2 linked regions of the Drosophila melanogaster genome follow. The protein of the gene in region 1 interacts with the protein of each later gene in a pairwise test. Each region holds a gene or a part of one and is shown on either strand. Other genes may lie near its edges. The genes, in order: djl and RpL22-like.

What was found.
Region 2: the proteins of djl (region 1) and RpL22-like interact in a two-hybrid assay, tested with the Drosophila melanogaster proteins (one large-scale study listed by BioGRID).

The regions. Positions count from the first base shown.
Region 1 is NT_033777.3:7,058,789-7,062,587, reverse strand, and holds djl (don juan like), read right to left. Parts: upstream 1,822-3,799; 5' UTR 1,698-1,821; coding exon 1,604-1,697; intron 1,549-1,603; coding exon 782-1,548; 3' UTR 669-781; downstream 1-668. Other genes in the region: Mst84B (Male-specific transcript 84B), read right to left, coding at 1-268; dj (don juan), read right to left, coding at 2,386-3,018, 3,097-3,120.
Region 2 is NT_033778.4:23,245,930-23,249,592, forward strand, and holds RpL22-like (ribosomal protein L22-like), read right to left. Parts: upstream 1,965-3,663; 5' UTR 1,849-1,964; intron 1,797-1,848; 5' UTR 1,795-1,796; coding exon 856-1,794; 3' UTR 681-855; downstream 1-680.

The sequences.
Region 1 (3,799 bases):
TATCACAAGTACCTGAAGACAAAAGACGAGAATCATACATTTTTTTTGCAGAAGCATGAGTAAGTTTAGAAAACCGGCCTTCCTGGCAAATCAACACGCTCTGCAGCTCTTTCGGCGTTCTCCCATAGTCCTGTTTTGATTTCTGCACAAGATTCAGATCCTTCATGCATTTCACTATGTGATACATCCGGAGACACCTGCTACAATTGCAGACACGGAAACAGGCATCAGGGTAGTGGCTCAACGCCAGCGAGGCTCTTTTCAACATGTTTTTTATGCTTTGGTTCCAAAATTTAACAGATAATTTTAAGAACAAATCGGGTTAAAATGCAAAAACTAAGAGGATTTCGACCCGATCTGCGCCATTATGTTCCGAAAACTGGGAAGTAAATGGGCCTGTATTTGACGTAATTATCACAGTAAGTGTGTGAAATAGTGAAGTAGACTATTATTAAAATAATAATATTCTTATGCGGAGTCGATATACTGAATTTTTTTTATTAGGACGGCTAAGACAAATCATGACGGCATATACTGAAAATCCAGGTTTTTTATTGTTAAGCTACTCATTCTCAAGAAAGTCTTATTTGGCATAAGGTTGCATTTGACTATACGATATATACGGTATATATTCCGGGATAATATATAGAATTTTCGAACACTTTACGAACTGAAAAGCCAGATGGGAAAAGTTTTTATTAACCACAAATCAATCAAACATGTTAAAGAATTCCATATTTTTGATTTTTTGATGAGTCCGCGCTAGTTTTGATCGGTCCATTTACTTCTTTTTCCCCTTTTTGGCCTTTTTCCTGCACATCTCTTTTTCGGCCATTTTTTTGCATTTTTCCTTCGCCGCAAGGTTTTTGCATATTTTTATCATTTTCTTAAACTTCTTCTTCTCGGCCAGCTTTTTGCATTGCTCCCTCTCCGCAACCTCCTTGCACTTTTTCTTCCAATTTACAGCCTTCTTTTTGCATGGATCCTCTTTTTTGCAAGGATCTTTCTTTTTGCAGGGGTCAACTTTCTTGGGTTTTTTAGCGCAAGGATCTTTGGGGCAACAGCTTTTTTTCTCGCAAGGATCTTCTTCTTCACAAGGCTTCTCTTCTTCGCAAGTATCTTTTTTCTTGCACTTATCCTTCTTGAGCAACTTCTTGCACTTCTTTTTCAGCTTATCCTTTTCACATTTTTCTCTTGCTGCCAGCTCTCGGCACTTTTTCTTTATTTTTTCCTTGTCCATCTTTTCTTTTTGGGCTAGTTCCTTGCAGATCTTCGTAACATCGCCATCATTAGCCTGCATGGTGATTTCTTTGACAAGCTTCTGGCATTCCTTTAGCATCTTTTCAAGATCTTCACGCTTTTCTTCCTTTAACGAAAGGTTTGATTCCTTCCTCCGGTCTTGGTGTTTCTCCAGATCTTCCCGGAATTTTCGGTGCATGGGATTGGGGAGCCCATAATATTCGTTCTTGATCACATGAATCACTCCAATGGAGCCGTCTCCAAATTTCTTATGCTTTTGACTAGGCTGGCTTTCGGGCTTGAGAATTTCTAGTACGAACAAGTATAAGTTATCTATTTAAGAGGTCACCGTTTGAGCTCTTACCTTTTTTTCTTAAATGTTCATGTGCATTTAGATGGTAGGACCTTTTAACAGAAGTCTGAAGGCACCGATAAACTAACGCAGGTCTCTTTAGCATTATAACGGTAAATTTAGAATTTTTCTTGTGGAAAATGAATTTTTAACGAAAAGCTAAGCAAAGGAAATAACCAAACTTCACAATTTTTGAACACTACCCAAACATGTTGACGTTTTCGTCTAAGAAAACTTGTGGAAGTGCTAAAAATTATCTAATGTGATTTCTTAAGCTACACATTAGGCGAAGTTCAGAAGGAACTGAATGATTCCTACTGACCAATGAATAATAATAGAATTAAACTTTAAAAGGAATATGTGATTTCAGATCCGTTTCAACGGTAATCACACTTCACTAATTTCTAATTACATATTTAAGCCGCAAATACTTCCAAACTTTACGTTTATAAAAGCAATGTTCTTTTTTTTTAAATCATATTTATTTATATGATATATAAATCTATATATATATATATAGATAGATTCCTTAACAAACATGACCGTCTGACTATCAGTCTGTCCGTATGAACGACGAAATCTTGCCACGGACTCATTACTCGAAAGCTGGGGGTTACATGCTCATTAACTGTTTTCCCCCTTGTTATTTTTTTAAATAAATAAAATCTAATTTTTCGGTAAAATGCCGTATTGTATATTATGAAAAAACCATATTTTAGATAAAGCCGCGTTGAACAGAGCTGAATGAATTAAACCAGGTACGTATGTATTTCATTGAATAATCCGCGAAAGCTTCACTTTTTCTTGCATTTGTCTTTTTTAGCCATTTTCTTGCATTTTTCCTTCTGAGCCATTTTTTTGCACTTTTTCTGCAACTTTTTCATTTTTTCTTTTTTGGCCAGTTTTTTGCACTTTTCCTTTTCGGCCAATTTTTTGCACTTCTTTTTTAGGTCCCCACCCTTTTTTTTGCACGGATCTTTCTTTTTGCAAGGATCTTTCTTTTTGCAGGGATCTTTCTTTTTGCAAGGATCTTTCTTTTTGCAAGGATCTTTCTTTTTGCAGGGATCTTTCTTTTTGCAAGGATCTTTCTTTTTGCAAGGGTCTTTCTTCGCGCACTTCGTCTTCTTCTCCAATTCCTTGCATTTCTTTTTCAGTTCTATCTGCTTGCACTTTTCTTTTTCAGCCAGTTCCTTGCAGGCTTTTTTGATGTCGCCACCTTTAGCAGCCATGATGATTTCTAGAGCTAGCCTCCGGCATTCATTTTTCATGTTTTCAAGTTCATCCTGATTCCCTTCCTTAAACCACTTGATCCTAACAGTCTGTTGCTGCTCCAGGTCTTGCAAGAACTTTCGTTGCATTGGACTGACGAGTGCAGAACGAATGTGTTGCGGATCGTGAATAGAGACATCGACAAATTTTGCTTGCCCCTGATTGGGAAGGTCATCGGTTGTGAAGTAGTATTAACAGTAACAAGTGGTAACCAGGCATATGAGTTCACTGCATACCTTCCTTAAAGTTCTCAAGGACATTGATGTGGTGAGGCCGTATAAAAGTGGGCTGAAAGCACCGACGTAAAATTAAAGCGGTTCTCTTAAACATTTCGAGAAAAATTTTTAAATTTTGTACCAAAAGTTTTACAAAGAATTTTGAAAAAACCACAGCTGGAGACTATTTGTCTGTGGAATCAGGATCTAAACTGAATCTGAGATCTAACCTGCCCCCAAAACTATACAAGTTTAACTGACATTATTATCTCAGATCATCAGATCAAAATCAATCTAATGAGAAATTTATCGTCTCCCACGAAACTCTTAGATCCAAAAGAACTTAATTGACTGCTAGAAATAAATAAAACGAATTGCAAAGCAAAACAAACTTCATTAAACCATATAGAAAATTATTTCTTACACTTAAAGAATTTTACTAGAATATTTAAAGGGTATATTTGTAGAAAAGTGGAAGAATGAAGCGTTTCTTATTATACTTTTAGGACCATAACCCAAGACGATCTGAAAATGTCCTTCCGTCCATCTGTCTGTCCGTATAAACGATGAGTTCCCGGGACTTCAGAGACGCCCACACTTGATTTCAGAAGCAAAAAATGCACATTTCTTCATCTCTGTTTTAGTTGTAAAGTTTAGTTTTAGTTCTGCATTAAATCAAAAATGCATTAATTTAGTGAAAAATGCAATCGTTTTTAGCAATAAA
Region 2 (3,663 bases), on another chromosome or scaffold:
ACAAAACACTTCAACCCGTTTTGACAAGAGTCGGCGATGACAGCAATTACCATACGATTTGCATGACGTTTATGTTTATTTTCGCTTTGTATTCCCTTCCAGGCGGCAATCGTGAATATTTTGCCCAGCCTTTGTGTTCTTTTGGCCAAGTCGAAAAGAAGCCAACCTGCGAGTGCTCAGGTTGATTTCGATTTTGACAGCTGCCTGCCTGACTCACTCCACTGGGCTGCCTCGCTGTTCGCATTTTGGCTGGATTCGCATTTCATTAGCTCGTTATGGACCACCTACGGCCAGGCCGGGCCAACTGCTGACAGAGGAGCACCCTCTGATCCCCACCCATGGTTTCGTCCATTTGGCAGACCCACAGCGAAGCAATTAAGCCGCCTGGCATCGAACACAATCCCGTCCAATGGGGCAATTTAAGGTATTTACAAAAGCGTAAAAAGGTAAGGAAAACAAGACTGGCTCCTCCCAATCAAAACATGACGAATGCCACTCGAGGCCCTCTCCGAGATGTCAATCGTTCAAGTTTAAGTCGATTCGACCGAGGAACGCTCCGCTCCTTCCTCCTAACTGACCGTAAAATGAAATCTTTAAGTTCTTCAAGGGAACTCTGCAGCTTCGGATGAGAATACATACATATATGATATACTCTTGTTAGGGTTTTTTTTTTTTTTATTGATATTTCATCGTTGAATATGTTGAAGCAAATGAGCAAAAATTGTATGAGCCACATTGAGAACTAGTGAAACTTCAAGTGGGAAATTTAACAGAAGTATACTGAGAAATTTAAGAAGTCTACACACTTGAACAGCTTTCATGGGATATACATGTTTTCGAAATGCGATCTTTGTTTTAGGCAAAGGTTTTTCCGCCATTGTCGTCGGCAACGTCGTCGTCGTCGTCATCAAAGTCCTTGTCCTGAATCTTAAAGTAGGTCATGGCGAAGGTGTCCTTGGCCGTGGACACTACCCGCAACCAATCACGCAGGCTGACCTTCTTCAAATACCGTTTGGTCAGATACTTGAAGTAGCGCTTGGAGAAGTGCACACCGGAGTGGATGATCAGCGAGAAGTTCTTGGTGCGCTCGAAAGTGACCTGATCCTTCAGCTGGTTGAGCTTGTTCTTTATCTTGATGTGGGTCTTCAAATACTGCTCGAAGTCGGCGAGGTCCAGGATCATATCCTCGGCCACGCATGCGCAGTCGATCACAAAGCGTTGCCAAGCCTTCTTTTTGGCCAGCCTTTTTCCACGCAGAACATTCTTCGTGCGTTTCGGCTTGGGCTTCGGATTTGCCGGAGTGGCGAGGCTCTTTTTTACACTTTTAGCTTTGGCTGCTGGAACCTCGACATTTTCGGCTTTTGGTGCTGCGGCAGCTTGTTCCTTGGGCTTTTCTTGCACCAGGGCGGCCTTTTTGGCGGGGACAACCGTGGGTATTTCCGCATTGCCACGTTTAGGAGGCGCAGACTTTTTCTTATTGTCCACCTCAGGGGCAACGGGTTCCGGCACTTGCATCAAGTTCTTGCGTGAAGCATTCTGGCCTTTCTTCGCCTTCGAGACCAACTTCTGGTCAGCAGCTTCGGCGGCCTTCTTAGCCGATTCTTTCATGGCCAAATCGAGATTCTTTAGTGCCACGGCCGGAGCTTTGGCCACCTTTTTAGAGGACAAAGGCGGAGCCGCAGATGGGGTGGCGGTTTCTACAGGAGTCACCTTAGCCGGGGCTTTCTTCGACGGCTGTGGGCCCGCCTTCGATTTGGCCTTGGAAGCATTCTTTTTCTGCGTCTGGGAACTCATTCCTATATGGCAAAACATGAGCACACGCCTAAAATTTTGAAACAATTAACTTACTCCAAAGAAATTAGTATCAAAAATAGGTTTAGAAACACCACGTGACTTCCTCCGTTGAAGTTTGGCAGGAAAAGAATTAGAGTGGCCAAGTGTAGCAACAATCAGAAAGTAACTGCATTTGCGATCCGTGTGACCTTGCTCACAATCGACTGTGCTTACGTAGAATGCGAATGCCAATTATTCGATTATCTTGGGCGGCATGTTTGTGAAAAAAAAACAGGAAATCTTTAAGTGAAATCACGAGAAATGAGTGTGGAGCAGGTTGGGATGTTGACGCTCTGATTTAACGCTGATTAATTGGCACGAAATTATTATTACCGCTTGTCAGCCGGGGATCAATTTGGCCTTGTTTGTCGTCTCGCCTCCAGTTCGGCCTCAGTAATTTGTAGTTTTCATATTATACCAGCTCCCTTTTAAGCTCTTTTATTATAGGGTATTGTGGTGGATCGAAATCGATTTAAACTTGCGCACACAGGTTCGAGATAAGTTACCAAAGTGGAATCCACATGAATCCACAGAGATAGCTCAACTTTTCCCAATGCTAGGCAAATTGAATTCCGAAAGCCTGTTTAAAGTGTCATCACCTTCCACTCTCTTTGTCGGCCAGTTCATTTATTTCCGAGTTGTACAAACATTTAGCTATCGCTTCAATATTTTTTAAGCCACAAGGAAATCCCTAAATTGCATAACATATCGCTTTGCAACGAGCGCCATTTATCAAATTCAAATGAAAGAGTTGGCCACCAACTGGGATTTGGGATTGTGGATGGGAGATGCCACCTCCTATCGGCAGGAAAAATAAAAAATAAAAACAAAAGCAAAAAGTGCAAGCCAAAGTGAATTCCCGCGGAGCGTTTAATCAAAACTTACCGGCGAACGCGTTCGCTGACAATGAGAAATTGCAACAAATTCGCGCTACATCGAAACCTTCTCCCTCGTGCTGTCTCTTTCTGTCTCGTTGCAGCCGTCTCTTTCGCTTGCCACTGCCAAGAGCAAACAAGGCTTAAAAAGGATGGCAGGAGGGGCGGGACAGGGGTGTCGATGGCAGCGCAAACAAAGCGTCGCGGAACGTCCAAAGAAATGCAGCGATCACGTATACGCACCCCTGGCCACCGAAACATAACCCAAGCCCATCTATCCACCTTCTCATACCCTAACAGAGGGTATTACTATTCAAATGGACTTTGGATCATCCTAAATTGTTTATAATAAAAGAAGAAACCAAAAGAGTGAGATTTAGGGCGACTTTGGTACATTTATATGACCTTTCCATACTCGCAATAGAGATTGGAGAAGTCAACCCTAGGGTATTTCGGGTACGTACCACTGTTTTTCCAACGCCGCATGAAGCTCCTGCAGTTAGGATGCTACTCGATTTCCCAGCCGCCGACTGGATATTGTTTTCTGGTAGTTTTGGTTCTTTTTTTTTTTGGCGGTTTTGTTTCGGTTGCGGATATGAAAAATGATGCCGAAACGATTTTTACAACCAAAAGCGCTCCCAGGCGCAGCCTCTTGCCGCGTCCTCCTCGCGGATTCGGAGATGCAGAGATTCGGAGGCAGGTAGAAGCAAGTGGAGTACCTCCCGCTCACTGCGAGCACTCGAAGTTGATTGATGGGCCCGGCATTGGCGATTGGGCGATGGGAAAACTGCAACGGTGGGCGTGACGGCCCTCCGCCCCCTGCGAAAAGTGGGAGGAATGATCGGCGGAGTCGTGCGGCTTCTGGCCCGAAATCAATCTGGCTAAACGGTAGCAAATGGGCGGATGGAAAGCGGAAAATGGGATTGGCAGTGCGGAGGCGTCTTTGGCCTGGGAG